Linked DNA regions of Caenorhabditis elegans. The protein of the gene in region 3 purifies or fractionates together with the protein of the main gene of each other region. This does not show direct contact. Each region holds a gene or a part of one and is shown on either strand. Other genes may lie near its edges.

Region 1 (4,710 bases), on a different chromosome or scaffold from region 3:
ACGAGACCCATCGTGACGAGACCCATCGTGGTGAGACCCATCGTGATGAGACCCATCGTGGTGAGACCCTTCGTGGTGAGACCCAAATTTTTGGCGGGAAATTCAAATTTTCAGTGAAAAAAATTTTGGCGGGAAATTCAAATCAGTGAAAAAAAATTTTGGCGGGAAATTCAAATTTTCAGTGAAAAAGTTTTGGCGGGAAATTCAAATTTTCTGTGAGAAAAATTTTGGGGGAAATTCAAATTTTCAGTGAAAAAAATTTTGGCGGGAAATTCAAATTTTCAGTGAAAAACATTTTGGCGGGAATTTCAAATTTTCAGTGAAAAACATTTTGCCGGGAAATTCAAATTTCTGAGAAAAAATTTTTGGCGGGAAATTCAAATTTTCTGAGAAACTTTTTGTTAGCTTAAGTACCACCTGGAACTGGCGAGACCTATCGTGGTGAGACCCTTAAAAATATGGGCGGGAACTTCAAAATTTATGAGAAAAGAAATTTTAGCGGGAAATTCAAATTTTCTGAGGAAAACATTTGGCGGGAAATCCAAATTTTTGTTCTGGAATCAATTTTTTTGTTTCAGCACCTTCTGGAAGTTTCAAGAAAATTCTAGACTGTTCTAGAATCATCTGGAAAATTTAAAAAAGTTCTGAAATGCTCTACAACCTCCTAAAACTGTAGGAGTTTTTATTTGTTTCGTTACATCTATATTCAAAGAACTTACTATTAGTAGTTAATTATTCAGACTTCTCCAGTTAAGGAAAGTTGTTAACTTATTAAAAAAACTGTAACCCTGTGGAATTTTTTCGAAAGCCTGATAATGATAATGTGTAGTAGAAAAATCAGAACATTCTAACTGTCTCTTTGAATTTTCTGAATAGTATACCATGGAAGGAGAAAATGCGATTTAATCGATGAAGTTTCAATTTTTTTTAATGAGACATTTTTGAATGATTAAAAGGACATCTATTTGTTATACATTTTAAACTCCGCCAGTCGTTGGCCGCGCCGGAGGCGCGGTCATCGGCTGGTTATCGAATAAAATGTCACGATTTGAAGTTTCGAAGTTTGTAGTTTGTAGTCTAGCAGACCAATTTTCAATACATCTCTGGAGTCACTTGGATTTCTCTGAAAAATATTTTTTAAAAATGAGGAATATTTGGAGATTAGAAGTGAAAATTTTGTAAAAATTGCTTTAAATCGAGATTTTCCAGGCTAAGGAGTTAATTTTCAGTGAGAAAACCGTCTGAAAACGCAAAAAATCCAAGTTTTTCAATTAAAAAACCCATTGGTCTGCTAAATCGAAATTTGTAGTTTGTAGCCTAGCAGACCCATTCTCTTCAAAATCACTTGGGTCTGCTAAATCGAAATTTGTAGTTTGTAGCCTAGCAGACACTTGAATCATCTGATTTGTCTGAAATTCTGAAAAAATTCGCGTTTGATTTGACTGTGAAACAACAAAAAAAAATCGAATTTCTAACTCAAAATTTACTCACAATTTCAAAATTCACACGATTTTCCCGCTAGAATGCCGAGAAAAACGTGGTTGAGAGAGGTGATTTAACAGAAAAAGACGAAAAAAAAGGGCGCGGAAAATTATAATTTTGAAGAATTCGAAGAATCTAATGTTGCTTCATTTGGTATGGTGGAATGAGTCCGGATGTCTCGGCGCGAGCCTTCTTCTCTGCCTCGATCTCGTCCAAATATGGCTTCAAGTACCACGATTCCTGAAGAAAAATAGATTTTTTAAAGTTGAATTTCGAGTGAAAAGCTACCTGATCCCATTGAGTCCATTCAGCCTTTGGAAGCTTCTCGCCGTGGAGAGCCAAAGTGTGGGCACGTGAAAGACGGATCTGAAGTAAAAAAAGATTGAAAATTCCAATTTTTAATCGATTTTCTCACCTTTCTCTGATCGAAAACGTGTGGCTCCTGGAGATTAAGGCGTCTGAGAGCCTCGGTGACTTCTGGAGCCGGCTCAAAGTAGGTGTCGTGGAATTGGAGCCCGTACTCGCGTCCTCCCCACAAGTTGCTCCATGCGAACTTGCGAAGCGTGCTGGCGATCGTGCCGTTGTAGGCGAAGGTGACGGCTTTTGAGGCGGCTTGACTGGCCATTTCGTTACCTGAAAAGAAAAAAATAAAAGAAAATTAGTGGGGAATTCTGGGGAAAAGCTGAAGAAAAACTGAAAAAATACAAGTTTTCACATGTTTTTCGGGAAATATCGATTTTTAGCTCAATTTCTCGGATTTTAAATGATTTTCTTGAGATTTTTTACATAAAGTCACTTATAACAAGCAAAAAATTAGGCAAAAATGCACAATTATCATTGAAAACTCTTAAAAATCCGGCAAAAACAAAGATAATGCAAAAAATTCTCAAAAATCAGATTCCAAGCGATTTCTCGAGTTATTTTACAAATTTACGCATTAAAACTGTCAGAAAACCTCATAAAGCTGATTTTTGTGCTTAAAATGCAAAAAAAATCGGAATTTCCAGCTAAAAATCAAAGAAAACCGAATGAAAAGGAAAATTATGAATTCGGCGGTGTCGCTAAACAACACGCAGGGTGTTATTTCGGAGCATCGTTGTGAACAAATTTTTGGAAATTAATTTTCTCAAGCTTTCAAGCATTGAGAACCTAATTTTTTGAAGTTAAAATACACATTTTATGATGGTTTTTTCTAATAAACTAAAGAAAAATTTCATAGGAATCGATTAAAGGGAAATTGAAGTATTTTATTTTTAACTAACGCCATGTAGCAGATAGATAATATGTTTTTTCAAAGTTTACTATGTTAAAATACTCCTTAGAACTTGATGAATTCAGATTTTTCACCAGAAACGTTGCCGGATGAGTATTTTGTGAAAAAAAAATAAGAAAATTGGCTGAAGTTTGATTTACGGTAAACAACACGCGCCTCGTTATTTCGGAGCTTCGTTGCAAGTGATTTTTTTTCGATAATTTTTTTTTCGAATTAATTAATTTTTTCATTAAATTGAACCGATTTCTATTGATTTTCTATTTTAAAATTGCGAAAATAAACAAATAAAAAATTTTAGTCGTTAATCTCTCAACTTTCACCCGTCAATTTTAATGTTTTAGGTCAAAAAATGGAGACAGTTATCGAAAATCGGGATTTGGACGGGTTAAAGGAGGTTGTGAAGGCGGAAAAAAAGACTGCGTGAGTTTTTAAAAGAATTATCAGATAAATAATGCAATTTTACAGGAAAGACGACGAATTTGTGCTTCTAAAAGTCGACGGGTTTCTGAAAAAGCGGGGATTCAAGGTCGCCGAGCAGCCTTCAGCCACCAAGGAAGAGCTTGCAAGGCGGCATTTTCATTTTGTGATGAATTGCTCCAAGCTTGGTAATTATTTTCTCGAAATTTCGTTTAAAAATGAGTTTTTTGCAGGTTTGTGCTCCAAAAACACTCCCCTGAGCACTCTACAGGACCTCTTGGAGATGAGCTCAATTGAGGAGTGTAAGCAGATTTTCAGCATAGTAGAAGAGAATATGAACGAGTTTAAGCAGGTAAAAAGCCGGTTTTCAAAGAATTTTCCCGATAAAAAGCGGATTTTTTGCAGCCCGGCTTCATTGAAACCGCCCAGAACAATATTCTACGCTTCTGCAACGATTTGCTCCGCCGCTTGAGTAGAACCGCTGAAACATCGTTCTGCGGAAGAATTATGTTCTTTCTCTCGAGGTAAAAAGCGAAACATTTTCGAAAAATCCCAAAATTTCCTGCGAAAAACTCAATTTTTTCCAGATTCCTCCCGCTAACCGAAAAATCCGGTGTAAACTTTATGGGACACTTCAACACGCTTAACGTTACCAACTACGACGAGGTATTTTTTCGGTTTTTGGACTGAAAAATCGCAAAAAATCGCAAAATTTCAGTCTGAAACCGACGGTGAAGCTCTTCTCGCTGCCACGTCATCGGCTCCAACACCTACGGAAGGAGCAGAGGATATGGAAACTGGAGAAATCGAAGAGGATAACTCAAAGTACGGAAAAATCGGAAAAAAGCGAGAAATTTCCACTGAAAAATATCATTTACCTGAATTTTTTGGGTCTGCTAGACTACAAACTACAAATTTCGATTTAGCAGACCCATGTGGTTTTGAAGAGAATGGGTCTGCTAGACTACAAACTACAAGTTTCGATTTAGCAGACCCATGTGGTGTTGTAGAGAATGGGTCTGCTAGACTACAAACTACAAATTAGCAGACCAAATGGTTTTTTAATTGAAAAACTTGGATTTTCAGCGATTTCAGACGGTTTTCGTACTGAAAATTGACTTTTTAAGCTAGAAAATCGCAGTTTTGAGCATTTTTTACATGATTTTTCGAATATTTGCTCATTTTTCAGAGAAATCCAAGTAACTCCCGAGATGTATCGCCAGTTTTGGTCCCTTCAAAAATTCATGTCAAATCCGAATTCAATATACGAAAAGGAGAAGTTTTTGACGTTTAAAACGGTAATTTTTCGCTGAAAATCACTGAAAATTGAGGTTTTTTGGCCGGAAAAATCGCTGAAATTCCACAAATTCTAACTGAAAATCGCCAAAAATCCCTTTTTTTCAGGATTTGACAGCAGTTCTCACCCTAATGACGTCGAATAAGCTGGAAAAACTCTCCTCCGAAGAGGAAGAAGCTCTGGAAAATCGACAGAAAAAGCAGCAAAAAGGATCCAGTAACGACGTGTTTTTTACCAAATA
Region 2 (3,444 bases), on a different chromosome or scaffold from region 3:
CTTCCTTCTTCGCAACTTCAACTGAAGGAGCAACTGACTTCACAACCTGCAGCTCATCATCTTCCTCCTCCTCATCGCTACTAGGAACGGTTTGAACGCCTGGCGCCTTCTTGGCTGGCGTTTTTGCAGCTGGAGTCTTGACGACTGGAGTTTTTGCAGCACGAGTTGGTGTCTTTGGTGCTGGTGTATCCACAGTCGATTTGGTAGTTCGCGATGGAGTTTTTGGAGCCGGTGTTTTTGGAGCTGGAGTAGCACCTCCTGCTGCTAGTGATTTCTGAGCTCTAGTCTTTGGGGACCTGGCTGGTGTCTTCGGTGGAACAACGACTTCTTCGTCCTTCTCTGGCACATCGGCGACGACATTCTTCGCAGGAGTGTTCTTGGTGCTCTTTCTACCCATCTTAAAATAACAATTAAAAATTTTAAAACAAAAAGAAATTTGATAAGTATAAAGAAACGGAATGCAAACCGCAGATCATGAAAAAGAAAATCATCAGATAAATACATTGAATACACTTTACTCTAAATCGCAAAATTAAAAACGAAAATTAGGATTTTTAAAAACCAAGGATCTGATAAAGATGGAATCTACAAATAAATTCAAGCATGTCCAAGCGTTTATTTAAGAGCAGCTTGCAAACCGAATCCAGGTCCAGGCGGGGTTTCTTTGAGAGAAGTAAGCTCTCCGAATGGCTCAGCGGCTAGGCGCCCGGATCTTGGTCCAGCAGCTGGTTTACGTCCTGCTTTAAGATCGTCAAGAATCTCGTTCACATCCTGAAAACTAACATAATTTTGTTAACGCATTGATATTTTTATACCTTTGGTGTCAGGTCCTCGAAATAATCGTCGTTAATTTGAATCATTGGAGCATTGACACATGCTCCAAGGCACTCTACTTCCGCCAATGTGAAGAGTCCATCTTTTGTTGTTTCTCCGGCATGAATGCCAAGTTTCTTCTCAATAGTTTCCGTGATGGTTTCAGCTCCTCGAAGCATGCATGGGGTAGTTGCGCAGACCTGGAGGAAATACTTTCCTACTGGTTGCCTGTTGAACATGGTGTAGAAAGTGGCAACTTCATAAGCACGCATTCTTGGTACTTCTAAAATTTTAGCAACCTCATGCATGGCTGAAATTGGAAGCCAGCCATGTTGCCGCTGAGCCAAATCGAGAAGTGGAATAAGAGCACCAGCCTGAATAAAACTGATTGAAAAAACCAGCATTAAAGTATAATCTCACTTTATGTCCTTCTGGATAAATATCCATGATAGCCTTAATTCTCTCTTGATTTTCCGAAGTGAATTTGAATTTGACATTCAAATTATTTTCTTTAGTGTCTCGGTGAACCATCAATCCAGTAGCTCCGCCTCGCTTGATCACCATTTCACCAAGGCGTGACGCCTGGAGCAGCACGTTCGATGCCAACGACATCTTTTGCAGGCCGATCACCTGAAAATTGATTTCTTCATAAAAAAACGATAATTTATGATTTTTCACAAGAAAAAGCAACATCTTCTTAGGGTAGAACTACTGGTTATATGTAAATGAATACGCTGAATTAGAAAATAATATTATTTTCAACGGAAATTCATCAGGATAACTGGGAAAAGCTGAAAATAGGGCCTGAAAATGGGCGGACATTCAGAAGGGACTAGTTCCTTTCTTTTCGAAATCGCCGGCCATGGTGTATGTTTACGATAAACTAAGCGTGAGATGGCATATCGGAGTGTCGTTTTATTATTATTTTTTCGTTTTTTGTTTTTTTTTGTTTTCTTTGAAGAAATTTAAAGAAGAATTCTTCTTTAACTTTCACGCATATTTAAATTAGAAACCTATAGAATTTTCGAATCTTTTTAACTGCTTCTGATCACTATTAGTAGTAGAGCGCATATTAATTGTTTAATTTCATCAAAATTAAAGTTTTATAGATGTCAGAAAACTTCGGCGAAGCAACGTATGTTAGCGGACGCCATCGGAAAAACCCTGTACTCATTTACACAAGTCGAACAGACCGTAACAAAGTTTATGAATTTATGATCGCAACGAAATATAAGGTGAATTTTTCTTTAAATCAAGTATTTCTATATTTAATTAGTTTTCAGATACCTGGACTAGTTTCTTGGAAATGTGTATCATGCTCAAAAGTGAAGAATGGTTATCGAAATTTAGGTGCTGAACTGAAGCGGAAAGTTCCGTTGATCCTAGTAGACAACGATATCATCAAGGAAGATCCAGAGAGACCCCTCAATGCTGAGCATTTTTGTAACGGAAAAGGTCATCTCGAAGCAGTAGTTGATAGAGCTAGAATTGATTTTGTACATGTAAGTTCTTTATAAACCTGTTTCAAGTTGCATGGTGTTATATTCAGATGCATGGACACGAAGAACCGAATAGTGCACAAATTCGTGAAACCATTCAACATTTTGCAAAAGAAGCTGCATCCACAGCACCGATCCCATTGAACGGGAAAGAAAAACGAGAGGTACAACGGACACTCGGTGCGAAATGTCTACCGCTTTTACATGGTGTTAATAAGCGAAGAATGTGTAAAAAGAGAAAAGAAGCTACGCAAGCTCAATTTCGAGACAACGAAGAAGGAATATTGGAACATGGAGAAGGTTCTTCTTCTTCAGTTCAACATCAGCAGGTCAAAGATGACAGGTCATCGAACAAAATAAATGAAAAAACTGGGGAAGTTCAGGAAGATTTTCAAGAAACACCCAGAAAACGTCGGAAAGCAGCGAGCAAGTTTCCACCATTTTCATCTCCAACGCAACAGCCTCTTTTGGTACGACCATTGCCGCCCATGTATTGTAAGTTTTTACGATTCGATTCTTACATCAAGGACAACGTCTAGCTTTTCAGAATTTCATTCCTTTTCAAAAGTCTTCTGAAACGTTTATTTTTTCAGACGTCCGCACGGGCATGGCTTCGCAAGTTCTTCCACACCAGCATCATCATCATGATTCTCATCATCATTCAATAGATTATTATGAGGATGTAGAGATTGAAGAAGAAGCTAGAGAACACGTATTCGACGATGAAGAGCTCATTTCGGGTGACCAGCAACAAGTGGCGTATAGCATTGAACTTTAAAGTACATTTCTAGCCTTCATATTTTGTAACATTTGTTGGAATTTCACAGTTTTATGCAATTACATGTAATTAGATTCCCAATTTGTGCAAAGGCCGTCAACACGTGACATGAAGTCTGTTTCGCTTCTCTGCACCCTCCCGTTTCACCCATTCACATTATTTTTCACCATTCATCAGCTGGTTTTTTTGTTGCTTTTCTTTTCCGCCTCCCTGTCAATTGTTGTTTTGACGCAGTTTCCTTATTTTCTCCTTTTTAGTTTTTTTTCTCAAAAAAAAAAAATTTCAAAAAGTTTCACAATTAACGTATTTTCAACTTACGGTTCAGTCAGGTCCGAATATACTTTTCTTGAATTT
Region 3 (5,262 bases):
TGGTGAGAATATGGTGATACCAGTGAAGGAACATGAGTGGACGTTTACGGAGAACCAAGAAGATGGTGTCAACAAGTTCGAAAAGTTTGGAAGCCATGAAGAGCCACACCCAGTATCCATTCTCTCCTTTCGTGAAATCAAACACTTTGCAGTAGGATGCTGAAATTATATTTAATTTTTGCAGGAAAGTGGAATGTATTCTATTTTGTCACTTTGGAACATATTTTTTATTTTTTGGTATTTTTAATTTTTCACAGATAACATAATATTCCCGTCAACTTTTGATAACACGATAATGCTGACTACTAATTGTTCTGACACTATCAAAATCAGGTTGATCAGAGAACGTTAGTACTTTGGTACACTCTCTTTGATTGTACTCACCGACAATTCCTTTGTTGGCAATGGTTCCAAAGAACTCTGGGGTCATTTTGACAGCTCCTGCGATGGAAAATGCGGCGAGGATGAAATTCCAGATGTTGAGTGGAATAGTCAATTGGAATGGTTGACGATTACGCATGAACCATTTTGTTCCGAACACAACGACCATGTACAGGATTGAAGCCTGGAAAATGAAATATGGTTGAATGAGGGATGAAAATGCACCAAATTGAAAACACCCAGTTTTCAATATCTCAAAATGAATTCTCAAAAATAAATTGTAAAGAATACAAACATGTTTCAGAGACGCTTCGAATACATGCTGGATATTTTTAAAAATATTCAATTTTATAGGTTCGGACCATTTTTCAAGAAACTCATTGGTTTTCAAGTGCAATAAATTTCTTGAAAGATTATCCAAAGAGAACCTATGAAATAAAATACTTTCAAAATATTCAAAATTAATTTGAAGTTGCATTCTTGGTTGAGAATTTTTTTTGAATAATTGTTGTAATATAGGTTGTAATTCGTTTAGTGTTGGGAAAAATTTAATAAATTATACAAATATTTCAATTTCGGATTCTTCGGATTTCCAATAAACCAAACAACTATAATCAAAATTTTAATTCTAAACAAATTTTACCTGAATAGTAACATCAAAGTGATCAGCAAAGAACTTGCGACCTTCTGCGTCAGGGAAATTCTTTGGCCCATGAGTAGCAATAGCCACAAATCGTTTCGTGTCGAATTTGACATCGAGAAGCCGTTGAACGAGCGGATGCTGAGCCATCTTCTCCCCAAGATAAACTACCTGCAAAAATAATTGTTTCAAAAAAAAAAAGAAATAAATTTCCGTCTGCAAAAAGTGCGAGAGATAGGATAGTAAACAGGCGCGTCTGTCGACGGGGTGAAAGGGCGATATGGAGTAGTAAAAAGAGATGAAATGGAGGAAAAGAAAAAGGGAAAAAAGAACGATGGCTCCGCCCCATCACCCCATATCGACCTTGTGGAGGATCGAATTCAAATGAAATGAAAAGAAAAATGGAGTATAGAAATAGAGAAAAACGTCCTTCGTACCCACAGCAACTCTTATCAGAGGTCTCTTGTGTCCTCGACCAGAACCTGCCGAAAAGGAAATTTTTCGAAGAGAGCATTTTTTATTACTTGCGATGGCATGACTTTTTTGTAGACGGAGATAAATGAAAACAAACGAGAACGCTGATATAACATGTAGATTCATCGAGTCTAGTTTTCTAGCCAAGCATGGAGGTCTAAAATGTAATGCTACCAGTTTAATTAACAAACATGACATATGTTTTCAATCAAGTGAATCATCTTGATCAGAAAAAATTAAGCGAATTGAAACCACATTTCATGGTTGAAACTTTTGAGAAAAAATATTTTAAGAAAGCATTTTTGTGTATTCCTTCAAACCAAAAAGGGCTATGTAAATAGTTTTTTTTTCAAACCAGCCATGCTTGCAACTTTTATGATGGTTGATAACTGAGCGTCCAAAATGATGACACATTTTTAGTAAAACAAGCTCTAAATAAAGTTTAGAATATTTGAATGGAACAATACAATAATATAAAACTTTTCTTTACGAGTTTGAGATCGTTTTGAGACAAGAAGGCATAGCTTTTTACCGATTGCAAAATAAAAAGTCGACCAGTTTCAAGCTGAAAAGGAAAATAACGTATTTTTTCAATAAAATGTAAGAGCAAAACAAAAAAGGATAAAAAATAATGCGAAAAAAATTTAATTCGTGGAGCACTAAACTGCACGCGGTAACGACACTCCGATTGAGGGACAGTGTATTGTAATGCTTTAAAAGAGAGACGCAGAGAAATTTTAAAGTTTTTTAGCCTCGAGAATGGTTATTTTCTATATTTTTATATTCATGATCTAATTTGGAGAGATTTAATGATTTTGTTTGTTTTACTCAAAGAGATGTTGCAAATATATTTAGTAAAAACAATTGGAAACTTTTCACTACCTAAATTTGAACTACGCGCCGATTTTTCAACAACTGATAAACAAGGCGCGCAACGACACTCCGTTGCCCAGTTTAATTTTTAACCAGATTTTTATTTATTTTGTTTTTAAAAACACATTTTCTTTGATTTTATACTCTTAAACCTTTTCAACGCTTTCTTGATCACAAGTTTTATTGAAATTAAAATATGTTATGGATAAGCAACGCGCTTAGAAACGGATTTATAAGTTTTTAAGCAATAAACTCGCGTTTTTCTTTCATAAATATTTTTCAAATTTGTTTTTCAGGTGATGTCGTCCCGCTTCTTGCGTACGGCGGTGGCTCGTGCCACACAACAGAGATCCATGTACGAGAACCCTTACATCAACCGTTTCAAGGCCAGGAGCAAGGTTTCCGAGGATTTCCACAAGAAGACTACAGGAATTACTGGACTTTTTGTCAATGAGCATCCACATCGTGCGTTGACTGTTGTGTATGGCAGAATTCTCCGCGCCCTTGAACAAATTCCACGGGATGCTGCTTACCGCAAGTATACTGAAGCTGTAAGAAATTATTATTGTTTCTACCGCAATCTTATGCAATATGTTTTTAGGTGGTAAAGCAGCGTTTGGCTCTTGTTCAAGCCGAAAACGACATTAAGAAGCTTGAGGAGAAAATTGGAATGGGACAAATCGAAGAAGTCATCGAACAGGTGCGTCAAGTTTCAATGTTAAATAATCGAATATCTATGAAAATAATGAATTTATAAATATTTCATAATGTTGCTTTCATTTGAAAGCGTTCAGAGACCCGAAGAACTCGGGGGATGTCCAACTGGGGGGATTACCAACTCGGGGGATTGGCTCCGCCCACAGAACCGTGGCTTACAATACGCCCATTTCTGCAACTGCCGCACGGTTTTAAAATCATTTTTTCTTGTTAATCCTCGCTCTATTGATAAAAATACAGTTTTAAAACCGTGCGGCAGTTGCAGAAATGGGCGTATTGCAAGCCACGGTTCTGTGGGCGGGGCAATCCCCCGAGTTCTTCGGGTCTCAGCGTTCACGAAGACTACGATGTTTCTAATATGTCAATGTTTAAAAGTTTCCGATACAAATATTTCGCGTAAATCAGAATAAATTTTTTTAAAATCATTTTTGCACCGAATAACAAAATTTTCGTTTCAAAAATAAATACCACTGCAATATTTTAAATGCTCAATAATTACAGGCCGAATATGAACTGGAGACAACACGAGCAATTGTTGATTCAAAAGCATGGGAGCCTCTCGTCGAATCTGCTCCAAAGGGACAATGGTCGTGGCCAGTCTAGAGAATTTTCGAGTTTCTCATTAATTTTTCTTGTAGATCACATTTTAACATTTTTTTTCTGTTTCACATCTGAATATAAAATTATAAATAGTGTTCTAGAATTCTAAAGAAAAGCTGAACAAATCTGCGAAATGGAAAAATTGCATGCTAATCAAATATTCAGATGAGGTTCTTCGTATTCACAATCAGGAAAGAAAATATGTACTTCACCCTCTCATATTTATTTTTTTTTTTTTGTATTTATGTTAGTGCGAGAACCACACCGTTTTCCTTGTTTCTGGGTGGTGATGTCGTAAAATATCTTGGCCATCTTCAGAGCTCATTTGTGCTCCGCCACGATGAGCTTTCTCCACTTTTCTGTTTTTAAAATTGCTCATCTGGTATGTTTCGTGACTTGTCTTCCTTTATTTCCTCTTTTTCTTTCAATAGAAGTACCAAACAATGACATGATAATTGGGAGTACAATCTGTTTCACACGTCATGTGCGGAAGAAGAAGAAGAAGAGATTCCCCGAAAAGTGGGCGGAGCTTGTAGTAGAAGCTCATCGTCTTGGGACCGAAGCAACAGAGATGGAATGATGGTTTTGCTGACGATTTCACACTTGGATGGATTTGAAAAGAATCCACGAAATAGAAGAAGAAGAAGACGATGAGTTTCGAGAGAGAGAATCCCTCCATTCTCTGTTTTCGTAAGAAAATTCAACTTTTTCCTGCGATTTTTGTTTTCAGAGAGTTTTTATTTTTTTGGTTGGTGATCATTTAAAATTCGTATTGCAAGTCATTAAATCCCGCGCTTGAAATAATTGGGCCGAGCACTCATTGTTTTGAAAAATTGTATATTGTTCTTGTTCCACCGAATATTTTTTGAGCAGTCAATTTTCAACAATTGTATTATACAACTAAACTATTCCGTTTTGCTCGTACAGTCTGAATGAAAATATTTAATTTATTTAGAGATTGGTAGAAGCTTTTTTAGAAATCCGAAAAATCGTCGTGAGACTTTTCGCCATATCTTCCACGCTAACAACGATTTAATATTACTGTAACTACTTCTATTTTATTGGCCTCGGATGTATTATAATTTTCAAATTGAATAAAAAATTACTGCAAAGAATTTTAAATAAAAAGATGTAGCAAAACCATATAGACTCTAATTACAGTAACTCGTTAACGAGTATATATATTGTAAGCGTGACGAGACCCATGCGTTTAAGACTTAGCGAAAAGACTGATCTCTAGACGTATACCTAATATAGGACGGTGCAGGTTCTCTTTCTCGGGGACGTCCCGCGCATCACTTTGTAATGATTTTGTGATTCATAGAATAATCATGCGTGACGTCACATCCCCACATTTTCCAGAAGTCAATCGAGACGTGGTTATGAAGATTACACGAGTTTCGACCCCTATTTAAACATAGAAAGCACTTTTATCCAACATTATTATGAAGAGGTTCCCAGTTTAAAATAATTTTGGAAGACTCGACACGCTGAGAACGACTTGAGAGCGTTTCTCGCCATTCTGAACGTGTAGCTTCTTCTTAATTGCTCACAGCGTGGCATAAATATTTAACTAC
Region 4 (5,627 bases), on a different chromosome or scaffold from region 3:
AAACTTATGCGTTACATTTTTACATGTGAGTTTTTAACAAAAATACACATATTTTTTATCGAAACAACTATGAAAAATCGTTTAAAATTCCACATCAACAAAAGTTTGAAAACACACAGTAATCTTTAAAGGCGCACACCTATTCGCATGTAATAAAAAATTAGGGACCTGGAACCGTATTTTTGGAGCTAACATCGCAAAATTTCGCGCCTGGGTAGTATACATCATAATATTTCACGCGCAAGTTCCACAACTTCAGGTTGTCTCAGAATTTGTGAACACCGGTCAAATGGTTCGTGTTCGAATAGGATATTCCTCTAAAAAACCATCCGTCAATATTACAAGTGGTCCATTATACGGTTATAGGTATCGGTGAGTGAAATGATTTTTAGATCGAGGTGCAAACGCGCTCCACGGTCAAATGTAAAGGCTCCACCCTCTAAAGTTGGGTCCCGTTAGGTATTGGCGGCAAAACCATAATTTCAAACATTTTCAAGCATTTTTAAATATGTTTATGTTGTTTTAAGGCTCTTTTAGTTGAAGTGGTGTGCAAAAAAAATTATTGACGTTATTAAGAGTTTGAATTCACAAGTTTTCGCCAATTCCTAACGAGACCCAACTATTTGGGGGCGGAGCGTTTTCATTTGGCTATAGAGCGCGCTTTCACCTCGATTTCAAAAACGAAGTTTTAAGAACCCGCGTGATATACCATTCAAGCTTTACAGGGTTCAACGAATCGATTTTCATATGGGTCGTAAAAATGAGAACGGAAGTGAGCATACAATAAATGGACGACGATTTCCGATGGAAGTACAATTAGTTGCATATAATACAGATTTGTATCCAAATTTTACGAGCGCCTCCAAGTCTCCACATGGAATTGCAATTTTATCAGTTTTGGTAGATGTGAGTTGCTTCGTTAGAAATTGTGTTAAATCTCAAATTTATATATTTTAGTTTGGACCTGAAACTAATCAAGAACTCATCAAACTAACAATTGCAACAGCTAGCATCAGTTACAAGGATCAACGTGTCCAACTTGCTGATTTCGAACCTTGGCGACTTCTTCCATTCACTAGAGATATTATCACTTATGAAGGATCTCTCACTTCTCCTGGATGCCATGAGACTGTCACTTGGATTATTCTGAATCAACCTATTTTTATCAAAAAGGAGCATGTAAGTTTTTTAATAGTCTATAAAAAACTTTGATTCTAAATTTACAGTTCGAGGAGTGGTCACACTTATATCTGAGCATGGAAGGCGCCGAGAAAGTCCCCGTTGCCCCAAATTTCAGGAAAATTCAAGAAACTAACAATCGACTAGTAAGAACAAATATTCAGCACAAGGTTTGGATATTTCTTTCATAAAAATATCTGAAGAAAATTATTTGAATTCCAGATGAGCTACAATTGCAATGTCTCAGTGAATAAAATCCACTATCGTGCAAATCATTTGCCACTGCCAAAACAACAGCATTCTTCTCGTCGCCACAATAATCCATTTGTCTGAAAAGAAAACTCCCGACTTTGCTCAAAGATTTCTCACGAATATTTTTCAAATTGTTCTTGTTTTGCAATAATTTTTTCGACTTTTTATACAATTCTGAAACTACACTTGCGCAAAACATGTCTCGTTTTGTTAAACTAAACAACTCGAAGCACACACACAAATGGATGACGTTAAATATGATGATTAATTGTATCGTCCAGCATTGTTTAGTGCTTCTCACGGTCAGCCTCGAATCCAACTCCTGGAACAAATTGCTCCGCCTTGTTGTGGAACAATGAGTGATTTCCATCGGACCATGGGAATGGCTGAAATTGAATATTTATTAGGAATGCATTTTCAGAATGGATTGATTGATTTTCAAGAAAAAAATGTTGGCGATTCTAAATTGCAAAAAAGTAGGAAAGTTTTTGCTAAAATCTTTAATTTTGTCAACTTTTCTGTGTTGCAAACGTCGGAAATGAGTATTTATTTTATTATCATCCTTTTTTCATGTTTTGGTTGTTAATTTTACGTTATTCCGTCGATTTAGGTCAATTTTAGTCTGATAGACCAAAACAATAATTCAATAAAACTGTATTCCAGCAGCTGCAACTAGAACATGTTGGCTAAATTGGAGATTTAGCTAAAATTTTTCTTACTCTTTTTTTGAAATTTTTAACCATCTTGGGAATTTATTGAGACCAATCGTTTTTTTTAATTACTGAGAAAACGCCAAATTATAAAATTGTATAATCATTTAAAAGCTTGATTGTAGAAATTAAAATTCCAAAAAAGCGACTGTTTTTTTTTTAATTCGTTTTGAATATTATTAAACTTCACAGTCATCCTTTTTAGTTTGAAAAATGCCAGAAAGATGACATTTTTAAACAGTTTGCCGATAACTTCTTTAATGAGGAAGACATGAAAGCTAAATAACATTTTTTAAGTAAAATTTTAAACTATGGCAGATTTCAAGATAAAAACGAATATTTTACCTTGTTGCGAACGTTCAAGAAGGCGTACTCGACGTGCTCTGGGCGTTCGTGGCTCATGTGTTTTTTGTGATCCTTGAAGGCGGCATACATGGTAAGAGCCAAGCATGGAATCGAAGCAATGAAGAAGATTTTCTTCCAGGTCTCGCTAGCATCTGAAAAATATATTTTAATCTTTGAACATCAAAATAGAAACTATTTATTTTAAAAAAAAACACTTACTGTGAGCTTGCTTGAGTGGAGTGACATATGACTCTTTGAATCCTTCGACATTGTTGGATCCGTAAAATGATCCTGAGGATTTGCGTTGGAAGGTCTTGACGACCGAGCGGGTAGCTGGTTGAGCGAGACGGTTCATGTCGGATACCTTTAAAATTTGAAATGAAGTTGAGATTTGTGAGAAAAACGGAACGCGGGGGGAGAAGGAGGGGGAACAAACTTGTTTACGTGAAAATTGAGAAAAAAAGAGAAAAATCAGGTGATTTGATGAAAAAGTACAAAATTGTGATTTTTAAATCAGAAAAAGCAATAAAACAAACTCACAAAATAAAAACAAATGAGGTTTTTCTTACGTCTTAAGAAACCTAATAATTGCTATGAAGAATTTTAGAAATTTAAACCCGACAATAATGATTGAATGACATGGTTGAACACTTGCAGATTTGAATTCGAAAAAGTGGAATTTCTAGTCGAACAATATCGATTTACGGCTGCGGTTTATATGCTATTGTGGTTAAAAAATTCATAATTTGTAATTTAATCATTTGAAACTCAAAAATAATCAATAAAAGCACTGTTTGTGAAGTAAAACCACAGAAACGCACGTTTCCTCAAGAGAAAATAACGGAGAGGCCGTCTTCGCTGCGAGACCAGCCGGTGAAATGGCGTGCGCCTTTAAGGTGTGTGAAATAATTGTGCTGCAACATGCTGTCTAATTTGCCTATTATCTCCGTTAGAAATGCTTCAAATTTTCTGAAACTTTGTTACCTGTTAAAACATGACATGTAGAACGAACACATAAAAAATTATTAATATCGATTCATTGGCTAAAAAGTTATTGACGGAAATAAGTATCAAGTTTTGGTTCGATTCTTGCCCTTTTTGAGTTGCTTGACGGAGAATTGCGGAACCCACGAGATGTCTGCCGCCTTGCAGGTGGCCACTATATAAGCAACAACTGGTCCTGGCTGTCTCGTTCTTCCGAGAACATATACTAAAATTGGAACAATACAGAGAAGATTAGCATGGCCCCTGCGCAAGGATGACACGCAAATTCGTGAAGCGTTCCAAATTTTTTTTAAAATTTCGCGTAACCTACCGGAAGCTCGTAAAATTTTTGCCTTTTGAAGATTTTACGACTGATCCTCTAATGTACAGAGTAATAATTCGTTTGTCCTGAATCAATCAATTCACAAAGAAGTCGAGACTTTTATGAGTCGTCCTGTAGGTGTCTATTTCTTTCAGAATTCTTTTTCAATATATGTGAAAAATAGATAAATACAACACGTATATTAAGAGCAATAAACATTTTTCAAAAAAAAAAGCAAAAGGAACAAAAATTACAGGGAAAGCGAAAATTCAAGAAATTTATGAGTTCTTCTGTGGAACCTTGATGGTGACAGTCTTTACTTCAGTGTATGCCTCAAGACCATATTCTCCGAGTTCGCGACCGATTCCTAAAAGAAAAAGTATTTTTTAACTTTGGCATGGAGAAATTTTAATAATAAATTAGCTTACCGGACTGCTTGAATCCTCCGAATGGAGCAGCAGCATCGAACACATCGTAACAATTAACCCAGACAGATCCAGCTCTGGTTGCGTTGGCAATATGAAGTGCCTTATCAATATCCTTAGTCATAACTCCAGCAGCCAATCCATAAATAGTGTTATTAGCCTTTTCAACTAATTCTTCCATTGTGTCGAATCTAATGATAGTCATAACAGGTCCAAAGATTTCTTCTTGAGCAATAGTCATCTGATCCTTAACATTAGCGAAGATAGTTGGCTTCACAAAGTGTCCTTGATCTCCGTGTTTGGCTCCTCCAGTCACCAATTGAGCTCCATCCTTCTTTCCAGCAGCGATATATTTTAAAATAGTCTCAACCTGCTTTCCGTCAACTTGTGGTCCTTGAGTAGTTTTCAAATCAAATGGATCTCCGATAACAGCCTTCTCGGCCAATTCCTTGGAACGAGCTACGAAATCATCATAGATCTTTCCTTCGACAAATGTTCTGGATCCGGCACAACAGCACTGTCCTTGATTGAAGAAGAGTCCGTGGTTGGCTTGATGAACGGAATCATTGAGATCAGCGTCAGCGAAAATGATGTTTGGTGATTTTCCTCCGAGTTCCAAAGTGACCTTCTTGACATTCGATTCTGCAGCAGCCTTCATAACAAGTCTTCCAACTTCAGTTGATCCAGTAAAAGCGACTTTGTCAACATCCATGTGCGACGAAATAGCTTGTCCGGCAGTATGTCCGTATCCTGGAATTTATTTATTTGAGAAACTCACAATTTTTACAAAACTGACCTGGAATGATATTAACCACTCCATCTGGGAATCCAGCTTCTTTTGTGAGAGCAGCCACGTGAAGGGCTGAAAGTGGAGTCTGTTCGGCGACCTTCATAACGACTGTGTTTCCCATAGCCAACGCTGGTCCAAGTTTCCAAGCTTGCATAAGAAGTGGGAAGTTCCATGGAATAATCTGTCCGCAGACTCCCACCGGTTCGTGACGAGTGTAAGTGAAGTAGTCACCCTCGATTGGAATAGTCTTTCCGTGATTCTTGTCAGCCCATCCGGCGTAATAACTGTAATAAAGTTATTTTTTAATGTTAGCCATTTTTCCTTTTTTTACAATAAATTTTAATTTTTCTCATCAATACAAACAAAATTTGATTCAAAAAATTGCATTTTTTGGCTGTTAATTTTCTAAACAGTTTTTTTTGATTTACGGTTGTCCGGACAATCAAAAATTTTTGTTTTTCGATTTTTTTCTCTCATAAAATTGAGAATTCGAAATTATTTTTGTAGATCTCTTTGCTCATTTGGCAGTAAAGTTTTTCGTTTTTTCTGAGTTTTCTTCTTAATTACAGACTATTTTGGGATTTTTTTACAGCAAAATTCTCCAATTTATGCTATTCGAA

The links.
Region 1: the proteins of ndua-5 (region 3) and T02H6.11 fractionate together in Caenorhabditis elegans (co-fractionation; one large-scale study listed by BioGRID). This does not show direct contact.
Region 2: the proteins of ndua-5 (region 3) and nduv-2 fractionate together in Caenorhabditis elegans (co-fractionation; one large-scale study listed by BioGRID). This does not show direct contact.
Region 4: the proteins of ndua-5 (region 3) and cox-6A fractionate together in Caenorhabditis elegans (co-fractionation; one large-scale study listed by BioGRID). This does not show direct contact.

Annotation. Positions count from the first base shown.
Region 1 is NC_003280.10:699,011-703,720, forward strand, and holds T02H6.11 (Cytochrome b-c1 complex subunit 7), read right to left. Parts: upstream 2,116-4,710; 5' UTR 2,108-2,115; coding exon 1,898-2,107; intron 1,849-1,897; coding exon 1,771-1,848; intron 1,723-1,770; coding exon 1,618-1,722; 3' UTR 1,472-1,617; downstream 1-1,471. Other genes in the region: thoc-1 (Death domain-containing protein), read left to right, coding at 3,105-3,175, 3,221-3,360, 3,406-3,524, 3,578-3,696, 3,760-3,838, 3,891-3,997, 4,362-4,470, 4,577-4,710.
Region 2 is NC_003283.11:13,624,125-13,627,568, forward strand, and holds nduv-2 (putative NADH dehydrogenase [ubiquinone] flavoprotein 2, mitochondrial), read right to left. Parts: upstream 1,444-3,444; 5' UTR 1,426-1,443; coding exon 1,234-1,425; intron 1,188-1,233; coding exon 816-1,187; intron 789-815; exon of another isoform or gene 772-788; coding exon 616-771; 3' UTR 501-615; downstream 1-500. Other genes in the region: F53F4.11 (Ribosomal L1 domain-containing protein), read right to left, coding at 1-397; F53F4.12 (Thioredoxin domain-containing protein), read left to right, coding at 1,923-2,048, 2,097-2,315, 2,363-2,807, 2,906-3,090.
Region 3 is NC_003282.8:9,522,296-9,527,557, reverse strand, and holds ndua-5 (putative NADH dehydrogenase [ubiquinone] 1 alpha subcomplex subunit 5), read left to right. Parts: upstream 1-2,658; 5' UTR 2,659-2,667; coding exon 2,668-2,919; intron 2,920-2,969; coding exon 2,970-3,068; intron 3,069-3,586; coding exon 3,587-3,688; 3' UTR 3,689-3,802; downstream 3,803-5,262. Other genes in the region: elo-1 (Long chain fatty acid elongase 1), read right to left, coding at 1-159, 385-565, 1,025-1,171.
Region 4 is NC_003281.10:5,078,949-5,084,575, reverse strand, and holds cox-6A (Cytochrome c oxidase subunit 6A, mitochondrial), read right to left. Parts: upstream 2,851-5,627; 5' UTR 2,842-2,850; coding exon 2,706-2,841; intron 2,639-2,705; coding exon 2,487-2,638; intron 1,818-2,486; coding exon 1,719-1,817; 3' UTR 1,589-1,718; downstream 1-1,588. Other genes in the region: cah-1 (Putative carbonic anhydrase-like protein 1), read left to right, coding at 260-372, 726-906, 958-1,179, 1,227-1,370; alh-1 (Aldehyde dehydrogenase domain-containing protein), read right to left, coding at 4,071-4,159, 4,221-4,967, 5,014-5,291. UniProt on the Caenorhabditis elegans protein: Component of the cytochrome c oxidase, the last enzyme in the mitochondrial electron transport chain which drives oxidative phosphorylation.